Linked DNA regions of Arabidopsis thaliana. The protein of the gene in region 1 interacts with the protein of each later gene in a pairwise test. Each region holds a gene or a part of one and is shown in the gene's direction. Other genes may lie near its edges. The genes, in order: HDA05 and GRF10.

What was found.
Region 2: the proteins of HDA05 (region 1) and GRF10 interact in a protein complementation assay, tested with the Arabidopsis thaliana proteins (one study listed by BioGRID).

Annotation. Positions count from the first base shown.
Region 1 is NC_003076.8:24,566,028-24,572,811, reverse strand, and holds HDA05 (histone deacetylase 5), read left to right. Parts: upstream 1-1,820; 5' UTR 1,821-1,894; coding exon 1,895-2,097; intron 2,098-2,593; coding exon 2,594-2,795; intron 2,796-2,905; coding exon 2,906-3,052; intron 3,053-3,151; coding exon 3,152-3,264; intron 3,265-3,398; coding exon 3,399-3,610; intron 3,611-3,686; coding exon 3,687-3,763; intron 3,764-3,916; coding exon 3,917-4,087; intron 4,088-4,212; coding exon 4,213-4,296; intron 4,297-4,512; coding exon 4,513-4,746; intron 4,747-4,835; coding exon 4,836-5,029; intron 5,030-5,133; coding exon 5,134-5,260; intron 5,261-5,344; coding exon 5,345-5,409; intron 5,410-5,509; coding exon 5,510-5,675; 3' UTR 5,676-6,029; downstream 6,030-6,784. Other genes in the region: HDA18 (histone deacetylase of the RPD3/HDA1 superfamily 18), read left to right, coding at 1-89, 168-232, 364-534, 679-1,515; AT5G61050 (histone deacetylase-related / HD-like protein), read left to right, coding at 6,197-6,400, 6,485-6,678, 6,773-6,784. UniProt on the Arabidopsis thaliana protein: Responsible for the deacetylation of lysine residues on the N-terminal part of the core histones (H2A, H2B, H3 and H4).
Region 2 is NC_003070.9:7,877,975-7,883,061, reverse strand, and holds GRF10 (general regulatory factor 10), read left to right. Parts: upstream 1-1,666; 5' UTR 1,667-1,958; coding exon 1,959-2,025; intron 2,026-2,377; coding exon 2,378-2,684; intron 2,685-2,891; coding exon 2,892-2,979; intron 2,980-3,086; coding exon 3,087-3,196; intron 3,197-3,277; coding exon 3,278-3,426; coding exon of another isoform or gene 3,427-3,461; exon of another isoform or gene 3,462-3,774; coding exon 3,775-3,812; coding exon of another isoform or gene 3,813-3,818; exon of another isoform or gene 3,819-3,837; intron 3,838-3,910; coding exon 3,911-3,916; 3' UTR 3,917-4,303; downstream 4,304-5,087. Other genes in the region: MBD8 (methyl-CPG-binding domain 8), read left to right, coding at 1-526, 883-1,348. UniProt on the Arabidopsis thaliana protein: Is associated with a DNA binding complex that binds to the G box, a well-characterized cis-acting DNA regulatory element found in plant genes.

The DNA of each region.
Region 1 (6,784 bases):
CTATCTTGCCGTATGGAACCACATCTTGATCCCTGTGACCAAGGAATTCAAACCAGATATTATTTTGCTTTCAGCTGGATTTGATGCAGGTTTGTATGGTCTAACCATTTGTTTCAAGGCTTTGTGACGGTAAGCTGTGTGTAATCTTTTCAACTTCTTCTTAACAGCTATTGGTGATCCGCTTGGGGGTTGTTGTGTTACCCCATATGGATATTCAGTTATGTTGAAGAAGGTTGGTGTTGAAGTGAACTGCCTCTTTTCTCCATTGTTTCTATTATGCGTACCATGGCTTCTCTACCATTGAAAATAACAAAGCTACATAATTTTACTTGGATATGACATCATTTAATTGGTTTCTCTCAGCTGATGGAGTTTGCACATGGAAAGATAGTGCTGGCATTAGAGGGAGGATACAATCTTGAGTCATTGGGAAAGTCTTCACTCGCATGTGTCCAAGTTTTGCTTGAAGACAAACAAATTCATGGTTCATCTGAAACATACCCATTAGAATCTACACGGCGTGTCATACAAGCGGTATGGCTCTATATAACCCTAACAGTCTGAAATTTTGTATGAATTGGCTACGATTTCTCTTTTCAGCTCAGTTCTTGTGTCATAAATATTGTATATCGCCTATGTTACTAATTGACAAAGCTCATCTGTTTCTTGTGGGTTTAGGTACGCGAGAGACTATGCACATATTGGCCTTCACTTGACGCGTCAATGGCGTCTAATGAGAATTTAAAGAACCCAAGTGCAGAAAGAAACTCCGCTGACGCCCTCCTTCGTGAAGTGGAAGAGTTAAAGTCTCTAATGGCTGCCCGAGATGGAGAACTGGAGGCAAGGAGAAAAGAGTTAAAGGCCAAAAATAAGGAGCTAGAAGCGAACGAGAAGGAGCTAGAAGCGGGACTAATGTTGATTCGCGCTCGGGAGGATGTAATCTGTGGTCTTCATGCAAAAATAGAGAGTTTGCAGCAGGAGCGAGATGAGGCGGTAGCGAAAGCTGAACGCATAGATAAGGAACTCCAAGAGGATAGGGCAAGAAGCCAGGAGTTCAAAGAAGACACAGAGTTTTGCTTGAGTACGTTAAGGAGGGAGAAGGAGCTTGCCATCATGGCCAAAAATAAGGACCTAGAAGCGAAAGAGAAGGAGCTAGAAGCGCGGCTAATGTTGGTTCACGCTCGGGAGGATAAAATTCATGCCAAAATAGAGAGGTTGCAGCAGGAGCGAGATGAGGCCGTAGCAAAAGCTGAACGCATAGATAAGGAACTCCAAGAGGATAGGTCAAGAAGCCGAGTTGGGAATGGATCTTTTGCCTTTTCTCAGGAGTTCTATGAAGACATGGACTTAGACGAGCTCGAACCTCTGTCTCCGGAGTTCAATGAAGACATGGACTCGGAAGAGCTTGAACCGTTTCAGGTCATCAAGAAAAACATGGAGCGTTCCCACAAGAAGTTCATAAAAGATATGGAGTGTATCAAGTTTATCGCCAGTGAGAGAGCCAGGGTACTTTAGGTTGGGAGCTTGAGGCCGTAGCAGAAGACTACCACAAGTTTCGCGAGATGGTTGATAAGCTCGGGAAGAGCAACATATACCCTTCTTAGAAAGTACAATGGTGTTTCATTGTAACCACAGAACCTTTTTGTGATTGTAAACCAACTGTGTCGTGTCAGACTTTGATTGGTTGCGATACTTGGTTTCCCAATTTCCCTCCAAAGAATCTCCAAATTGGTCAAACTCTCAAACCTAAAAAAAAAAAAGGAGAGAATGAAAAAAAGAAAGAATTGAAAAGTAAAAAATACTTGGAAGCTTTAGAAGCTGAGAGCAAAGACTTGACCTTTTTCACTTCCTTCTCACTGATCGTCGAACAATAAGGCCGTCGCATCTCCCAGTTATGGCTATGGCCGGAGAATCTTCCGGCAAAAAAATTGGAGACTGTGACGGTAAAGTCGCGGGGAACAGACAGCGAAAGGTGGGTCTTATTTACGACGAGACGATGTGCAAACACGACACACCTGACGGCGAGGATCACCCTGAGTGTCCCGACCGCATCAGAGTTATCTGGGAGAAGCTTCAGCTCGCCGGAGTTTCTCAAAGGTTCATACTTTCTCTCTTCTTCGTGCGGCTTTGTTGTTTGTTTGATAATATAAGCCCTAGAAAATGCTCAAATTTAGTCAAATTGGGTACTTTCTGATCCTGTCAGCTGAGAAACTGGTCTCAATTTGTTCTTCCTTGTTCGGTATGAAATTTACTTTTCTCAATTTGAATTGTGCATTTCATAGAATCAAAAGGTTTGTATGCTGCTCAATTTTAACGGTAACCCTTCATAAATTTGCTACCTTTTCGTTATGTTCGGTCTTGTGTTCGAGTTATTTCCTCCATGTCTGTTTTATAACCCTCTCTGATATCAATTTTATATTTTTCATATTTGTTTGAATTTCACTCATAACATTATTAATTAGAGTAATGTGGCAGCACATTAGTTAGGGAAGGTGGAATCTAGTCTTTGAGGTGTGTATCCATCACGATTTGTTTTTCGATTCGGATGAATTGGCCTGCTATGTATTGACGATCTTGGTCTTTTCTTTTGCAGATGTGTGGTTCTTGGTAGTAGCAAAGCAGAAGATAAGCATCTCCAATTGGTTCACACAAAGGACCATGTTAATTTAGTTAAGAGTATTAGCACAAAACAGAAAGATTATCGGAGAAACAGGATTGCTTCACAGTTGAATTCGATTTATCTGAATGGAGGTTCATCTGAAGCCGCATATCTTGCAGCTGGTTCTGTTGTAAAGGTAATAATACTAGTTGATTTGTTTCTTTTTACAATAGGAGGATACATTAGAAACTGTTAGAATGATTTGATTGAATATGGGGTAACAACATTTTTCTTTCAACTTGACAGTTGGCAGAAAAAGTTGCAGAAGGAGAGTTAGATTGTGGTTTTGCTATTGTCAGGCCCCCAGGGCACCATGCTGAGGCAGATGAAGCCATGGGTTTTTGTTTATTCAACAATGTTGCCGTTGCTGCTAGTTTTTTACTAAACGAAAGAGTAAGGACTTGTACTGTTTGCTTTTAATTACTGTCAAATTCTTTGGTCACATTCCTTTGGAGTGCGTGTTCCCAACTTCTTTGCTTTTCCTGAATGCAGCCGGATCTAGGGGTCAAGAAAATTCTGATCGTTGATTGGGATGTCCATCACGGAAATGGTACCCAGAAGATGTTTTGGAAAGATCCTCGTGTACTATTTTTCTCTGTTCATAGGTATGTAATTGTGACCATTGTTTACTCTTCTTATGATGTCGCTTGTCATGATTTAAGGAGCCTACTTTTTACTCTATTACCCCTTTGCTTGATTTTTACGCTTGGAAAGTAACTGGAAATGCATTTTTGGTTAGGCATGAGTATGGGGGTTTCTATCCAGCGGGTGATGATGGCGATTATAACATGGTTGGGGAAGGTCCAGGTGAAGGGTTTAACATAAATGTTCCATGGGATCAAGGACGATGTGGAGATGCAGATTATCTTGCTGCATGGGACCATATCTTGATTCCTGTGGCGAGGGAATTTAACCCGGATGTTATTTTTCTTTCAGCTGGATTTGATGCAGGTAAACATGGTTTAAGCATTTTTTTAAGCTATGTCTTGTTCAGAGGTGTGTAACCTTTTCAAACTCCTCTTAACAGCTATTAATGATCCGCTAGGGGGTTGTTGTGTGACCCCATATGGATATTCAGTTATGTTGAAGAAGGTTGGTGTTGAAGTGAACTCCCTCTTTTGTCCATCATTTGTATTTGCGCTCCAGGGGTCTCCATCATTGAAAATAGCACTTCTTGCTTTAGCTGGTTGTTTGTCCCTGAGCTAAATAATAGAAACTTGCATTTAATATCATTCTGTTTCTCCAATGTTCTCTCAGCTGATGGAGTTTGCACAAGGAAAGATAGTGCTGGCGTTAGAGGGAGGGTACAATCTTGACTCAATTGCAAAGTCTTCACTTGCATGTGTCCAAGTTTTGCTTGAAGACAAACAAATTCAAGGACCTCCGGAAGCATACCCATTCGAGTCGACATGGCGTGTCATACAAGCGGTATGGCTCTATATCATCCTATCTTTTAACTTTCTTATTTCACAATCTGAAACAACCTTCCATAAATGGGCTGTAGTCCTCATGTTACTAGTTGACCAAAACTCATCTGTTTCTTGTGGGTTTAGGTGCGCAAGAGGCTATGCACATATTGGCCTTCACTTGCAGATGAATTATCGTGGAAGCTAATTAATCAGAAAACTCCTACTCCAGTTGAGCACCCTTCTTTTTGTCTACCATTTCAGTTGTTCATTGTTCATCAGAGAGCGTTTCCTTGCCAGATCGGATTTAGAAAAACCTCACTATTTTTAGCAACCACTTCTTAACTTCTTTGTCTCTATACAAATTTTCCTTTGCTTGATCTTCTTTTTAGGCGACAGACTCGGTATTTCTTATCACATAATTTCTTTCTTATTTGTTCACTATAGATCATCCTTATCTCAAGCTCCGACTCTGAAACTGAAGACAACGCCCAAGGACTCCTGGATCAAATGTCGAAACTCAGCATTGAAAACCCTCAAGGTACACTACTTGAAAACCACCAAGTAGAACCTGCATCTACATCTTGGAGAGCTGATCTCGCAAAGGTTGACGTTTGGTATGCCTCTTTTGGATCCAACATGTGGAAACCAAGGTTTCTTTGCTATATTCAAGGGGGACAGGTAAGTAACCTGTTTTGTTTTGTTTTCGGGGTCGAGTCTGGGCTTTGGTCTAACTTGACACATCTATGGCTGTTTGTGTTTATTTTTAGGTCGATGGATTGAAAAAGGTATGTGTTGGCTCAATGGATAAAAGTCCACCAAAGGAAACAGTGTGGGAAACATTTCCACATAGATTGTTCTTTGGCCGTGAATCTTCAGTTGGTTGGGGTGTAGGAGGAGTTGCTTTCACCAACCCCCTTGCTAATCTCATTGATCAAACTCACATGTGTTTGTACCGTATCACGTTAAGTGTACCACTCTTCATCGCAGTTTCCGTTCACTTTCCCTATTTTATTCATTTGGTGATCTTCTCTACTTATTCACTATGGATGTTATTTTTGTGAACAGGCTTGAGCAGTTCAATGACGTTCTGTCTCAAGAAAATGGTTTGAATGTGGATTCAGATTCTCCGGTCTTTGATCTAGCTGCTTTGCAGTTAGTAGATAACAAAGGATCCATTTTAGAAGCTCCTTTGGTTAGTCAGATAACAAATGTTGATTGATACGCTTATAAAACATGTAATAATCACACTTATACTCGTTTATTGACATTTTTACAGAATAGTTGGTATGGAAATGTTGTCTGCTTGGGAAAAGAACGCGACATTCCTATACTTACAATGACGTAAGTTTTCATCATTCTTTTTCTTTTGCTGCTCATAAACCGAGTTAAACAGCTTTCATTTTTTTTTTCCTGAGGTTTCTCAATAACTTTGTGTTTGCAGTTGCACGCTTTCCGCTGTTGAGAAATTCAAATCCGGTGAGATCCCTATAAGACCTCCTGCAAAAGCTTATGCCAACACTTTAATAAGGGGACTTGTGGAAGGAGGAAGATTATCTAAAGAAGAAGCTGAGGCTTACATAGACAAGGCTGTGTCTAAACCTCTCTAGTGTATAATTATTTACTCAGAAACCGCCCGTTTGAACACGATTTGGAGCTTCGGGTTTCTGAGTTATTCAATTAGGATAAAAACCACAAGTTTAGGAATATTGTGAGACCTTTGAATTTGTCTTTTGAAAGAGAGGACTGTGTCCTCTGTTAGCTGTGTTGTGCTTGCTCCCTAAGCAAACTCTCAATGTATTTTAGTTATCTTCGGGTTTTAGGCTTTACCAAGAAGCTGTATTCGGTAAATGTATTAAAGAACCCTCCAAACTGCTTTATATTGACCGGAGAGAAACATTCTTATTCTTCGGAATGGTACTTTGAAGTTTGAAGAGTTATTTTAAAAAAAGATTTAACAGCACTGTGAAGAGTTCTGGTCAAACAAACCTATTTAAAAAAAAGAGATTGGAAAACATGTATAAATAAAAATTGAAACGTAAAAATACTTTGAAGCTTCAGAAGCAAAGATTGGACCATTTCTCTTTTTTCTCCCTGCTCGTCGAACGATAGACTCTCTCATCTCCCGCATATGGCCATGGCCGACAAAAAATATGGAAACTGTGACGGTAAAGTCGCCGGGAAAAGCCAGCAAGGTACACTAGTTGAAAAGGAGCAAGTAGATACCGCTTCTACATCCTGGAGAATTGATCTCGCAAAGGTTGACGTTTGGTATGCCTCTTACGGATCCAACATGTGGAAACCGAGGTTTATTTGCTATATTCAAGGGGGACAAGTAAGTAGCCTTGTTTCGTTTCTTTTTGGAGTCTGAGCTTGTGTCTTAATTGACACATCTATGGCTGTTTGTGTTTATTTTCAGGCCGAGGGAATGATAAAAGCATGTGTCGGTTCAATGGACAAAAGTCCACCAAAGGAAATAATGTGGAAAACATTTCCACATCGATTGTTATTTGGCCGTGAAACTTCAATGTTTTGGGGTGTAGGAGGAGTTGCTTACACCAATCCCCTTACTAATCTCAATGATCAAACTCACATGTGTTTGTACAGAATCACGTTAAGTTTCTTCATCTCCGTTTCCGAGTTTTCTCTTTTCATATATCTGATCTTTTCTACTTATTCATTATATGGTTGTTGTTTTCGTGATCAGGCTTGAGCAATT
Region 2 (5,087 bases), on another chromosome or scaffold:
AAGAGAATGAGGTTTTGGATTTAACTGGTGAAGCATCTACGTATGTGTTTGTAGATAAAACTAGTAGCAATTTGGGAATGGTGAGTAGAGTTGGTAGTTCAGGAATCTCCCTGGATTCAAATTCAGTGAAGAGAAAGAGAGGTCGTCCTCCAAAGAATAAGGAAGAGATAATGAACCTAGAGAAGAGAGACAGTGCAATTGTGAATATTTCTGCGTTTGATAAGGAAGAGTTAGTAGTGAACTTGGAGAACAGAGAAGGTACAATTGTGGATCTCTCTGCATTGGCTAGTGTTTCAGAGGATCCATACGAAGAGGAGCTGAGGAGGATCACCGTTGGGTTGAAGACAAAGGAAGAGATCTTAGGTTTCTTGGAACAATTGAATGGTGAATGGGTGAATATAGGGAAGAAGAAGAAAGTTGTGAATGCTTGTGATTATGGAGGATACTTGCCTAGAGGATGGAGACTTATGCTCTACATCAAAAGGAAAGGTAGCAATTTGTTGCTGGCTTGTCGCAGATACATAAGGTATAATAATGTTTATGTTCTTCACTGGTTCTGTTTCTAGTTGGATTATAAAATAGACCTAGTATTGGCTGTGGAATTGGTTATAGCAAAACTAACACTTTGTTACTATTGAAGATATAGTTTTATAGGATTTGGTATATGATGTTTTAGTTTCTGCTGCTAGACTTTTGATTGTCCCTCTTGTTTGTTTCTCCATCTTCTTGAACATGATAAAAGATGTTTACATGAATTAAGGGCTGCTACTGAAATTGCTTATAGTTCGTTTGTGTACTCTCTGCCGTTCTAGGATTCTAGCTGTTGTTATCACTTTTAGTTCAGGATTCTGAAAATTTTCTCTTTTGTTTTTGATTATATAGCCCTGATGGGCAACAGTTTGAAACCTGCAAGGAAGTCTCCACATATCTACGATCACTTCTTGAATCCCCAAGCAAGAACCAACATTATTACTTGCAATCTGACAACAAGACTCTAGGACAACAACCAGTGATAGCTAACGAATCTTTACTAGGTAACTCTGATTCCATGGACTCTGAGACAATGCAGTACCTTGAGAGTGGAAGAACCAGCAGTGAGGTGTTTGAGGAAGCAAAAGCCGTAGAGAATGGCAATGAAGCAGATCGAGTGAAAACCAGTCTGATGCAGAAAGATGATAATGCAGATTTTCTGAATGGAGTTGAGGACAACGACGATGATATGAAGAAAAGAGATGGTAACATGGAGAATTTGGCGACTCTATCGAATTCAGAAATGACGAAAAGCCTACCGACAACGACTAATGAGCTTCAACAGTATTTCAGCTCACAAATCAACCGAGTTCAGTGACCATTTCTTTTACCTGGAACAAATTGTTTTCTCATTCTAGTTCAGATTTTATATTTTATGCAAACTAAAAGCGTGTTGTAGCTAACTACAGGATATAGAATTTGAAAGGGCCATGTACAAAACATTTGACAGAAACCAAATTTTTTCTTCAAAAGAAAATTTCTTTGAGTTTCAATCTGTGATTGATTTGGATTTGGATTTGGATTGGCATAAAAAAAATCTATGATTTGGATTGTGTTATATAATATAGAAAAGAACACAAACCCTTAAAATAATGGACAAGAGGACATGTCTTTCTCCGTTTATCACGGTCAGCGTCGTTAACCTTTTACGTTATTGACTAGATCGGGGTTTAATAAGAAACATATATTAGTTTTAGGTTCTTTCTGTGTAAAAACTAAACCTTTGTGGCTACTTTATAATTTATAAAACTTATGTTTCTGAGTTTTGTTGACTAAAAAAAGTAGATCCAACGGCTGATATAATACCACTATGAGAGGATCCTAGGGTTACTACTAATCTCGAAATCAATCAAATCAAAGCATCCATTTTTGATTCAGACTTCAGAGAGACAGAGAAGGAAGAAGAAGAAGAAGAAGAAGAAAAAACTATGGAGAATGAGAGGGAAAAGCAGGTTTACTTGGCTAAGCTCTCCGAGCAAACCGAAAGATACGATGGTATTTTCCGATTTCTGGATCTCTATTCAGAAAATGATTTGTTCATGTTTCTGAAAAAATCCGATCTTTTATTGCTCCGATCGAAATTGTTTTTACATTTCCATAGATTTTCTTTGTAGCCCTTTACCGATTTGTATGTTTCTGGGCTGTTACTTGATCTGGACTTTTAGATGCGACCTTTAAGTAATTTCTTGTTTAATGTTGTTTAGATACTCTGATCACTCTTGATCTTATCTTGATATAATTTTATACTTACTGTTGTCGAATCTCTTAGCATGAAAATGAAATAGATCTACGTTTTTGGAAGCAAATTCAAAGATCGGATATTTTTTTTTTGTTGGTGATGATGCAGAAATGGTGGAGGCGATGAAGAAAGTTGCTCAGCTTGATGTGGAGCTAACTGTGGAAGAGAGGAATCTTGTATCTGTAGGGTACAAGAATGTGATTGGTGCAAGGAGAGCATCATGGAGAATACTATCTTCCATTGAGCAGAAGGAAGAGTCCAAGGGAAATGATGAAAATGTCAAGAGGCTTAAGAATTATCGTAAGAGAGTTGAAGATGAGCTTGCTAAAGTTTGTAATGACATCTTGTCTGTCATTGATAAGCATCTCATTCCATCGTCTAACGCTGTGGAGTCAACTGTCTTTTTCTACAAAATGTGAGTGTCATCTTTATTATACTCTGACCATTCATGTGATATTTGTGTGACTAAGAATGAGATCATTTCCGTTTGACTAAAGTTAAATGTTTAAGTTATTACATAGCTACCACTCTTGCTTGTGTTCTTCCTGAAATGATGATGATTCATGAACTTTTCCTTGTTTCACTGTTTTGACTTTACGTGTTTTTTTTTCTTTCTATGTAGGAAAGGAGATTACTATCGCTATCTTGCGGAGTTCAGTTCTGGTGCTGAACGCAAGGAAGCTGCAGATCAGTCTCTTGAAGCATATAAGGTCCTTTGATCATGTTTATTTGTTTTCTTATTTTTGTGCCACCCCTCTTATATTTGAGCTGGGAATAACCTAAGACAAGTCTTGCTTTTTTCGTACTGGGAATGTAGGCTGCTGTTGCTGCTGCAGAGAATGGTTTGGCACCCACACATCCAGTTAGACTTGGCTTGGCGTTGAACTTTTCAGTTTTCTACTATGAGATCTTGAACTCTCCCGAAAGGTTTGTTTTTGTATTTTGGATTGAACATAATAGTGGAATCTGTGGTCATTTTCTGACACTATGAAACTATGTATTGTACAGCGCATGCCAATTGGCTAAGCAAGCATTCGATGATGCAATTGCTGAACTTGACAGCCTCAACGAGGAATCATACAAAGACAGCACTCTTATTATGCAGCTACTTAGAGACAATCTCACCTTGTGGACTTCAGACCTTAATGAGGAAGGAGGTATTCTTATTTTCTTTTGTTTCCCTATCTCATGATCAAATGGTTTCCTTAGAATCAAATGAGCTGTTAAGAGCGTTACCTTGGAGTAAAAATGTTGATGTTTGGGAACTCGTAACCATTAACCATCTGTCTATATTTGAATTAAACCGTCCTTTATGCATGTATTGCTATGTAGATCTTTCATTTTAGTTTTGAAAGCCTCAACAAAAAACATACCAATCTACCATCTCATAGTTATTGGATTCTAGCTAATCTTGTAAAAGTTATATGTTTGTAGCAGAAAACATTACTAGTTTCTTGTTTCTCTTCCAAAGCTTTTTCACTCACCTTTTTTTTTTCCCCTCTTAGATGAGAGAACCAAAGGTGCTGATGAGCCTCAAGATGAGGTATGAAAAGCCAGTTTTGTTATAAGTTAAGCTACTTACTGATTTTTCCATTTTGCATTGACAATTAGACCACTCATGGAATTACTGAATCATTGCAGAACTAAATCCTCTGTGAGAAGAGAAACGACTCTTGCTGCATCCTGAATCTTGAAGTGAAGACAGTAAGTGTCGTTGTTTGTTACTCGAATGTGTAATTTTTAATCTATGTCTTTCTTGATGGTGTTTTCCAGATTCTTGAACTTTTCACAACACAACACTGCGTTGCGTATCTTCAACCCTCTTATGATGTGGTTGAATTCTGTTTTACGCTTAGTTTGCTTCTTTTGTTGTTGAATTGAGCCAGCAGGCATGATTTGGGTTTTTGTTTATCAGAATATTAGGCGTATCATGGTCTCAAAATTAAAAACCAAAACAGACAAAGCTTTATTCGAAGTTTGTAATAACTAATAACTCCTTGCAAAAATCATGAAAGTCTGAATTCAAGAGGCTCTTAATAATTTGCATAAGTGATCCCAAACTTCACAACTTTTCAATTTGTGGATGTTTGCCCTCTTTGTGGCCAAGGAATCATCCTCAAGTGTGTTTCTCTACGGTGGTTTGGTCCGTAAGTGTGTGACATAATAATGGTTTGGTTCTCCCAACATGACCCTCAAAAAGGATCTCTATGCTCTAAATATGGGACTCTTGTAAGTTGTAATTGTAACCAAATGCTATCACAAACTCTCTAACTCGTACCAACACTCATTGTGTCTAATCCAATCGAGAGCCCTCAAAGTCTAAAACATGTTAATCAAACTGTGAACCAGTTAATCCTTATAGAATCAGATATCTTTTTGTCAACCATCTAAATAACATTTTTGTCACGAATTGACCACTTCCCTCGAGAGATTTTGTAGTGTTTTCTTTAATATTTTTATATGTCCAATGAATAATAATTTCATACATCTATCGAAAACTTCAATTTTGAGCTACAAATGATCAATTCAAGTATTCACTTGGCCCAACTTCTAAATTCTTTAGGTGAGTTGTTGCTAGCACAACAAATGCTACAACTGTCAAAAGCAAAGAGACAACACCTTCAAATATTAGGTTTGACTAATAAACAGAGGATCATGGTGACGATCTTTGCCAACTCTCACCAAATCAACCTGAAACCTTCAAAACAGATTTGATGCTATTGGATCCAGCGCCAATAGGACACTTGTCATTAGCTCATTTACTTTTCTATTCTTTAAAATGATGAGTGAAATCGAAAAGTCTTGAGCAAGAAATACA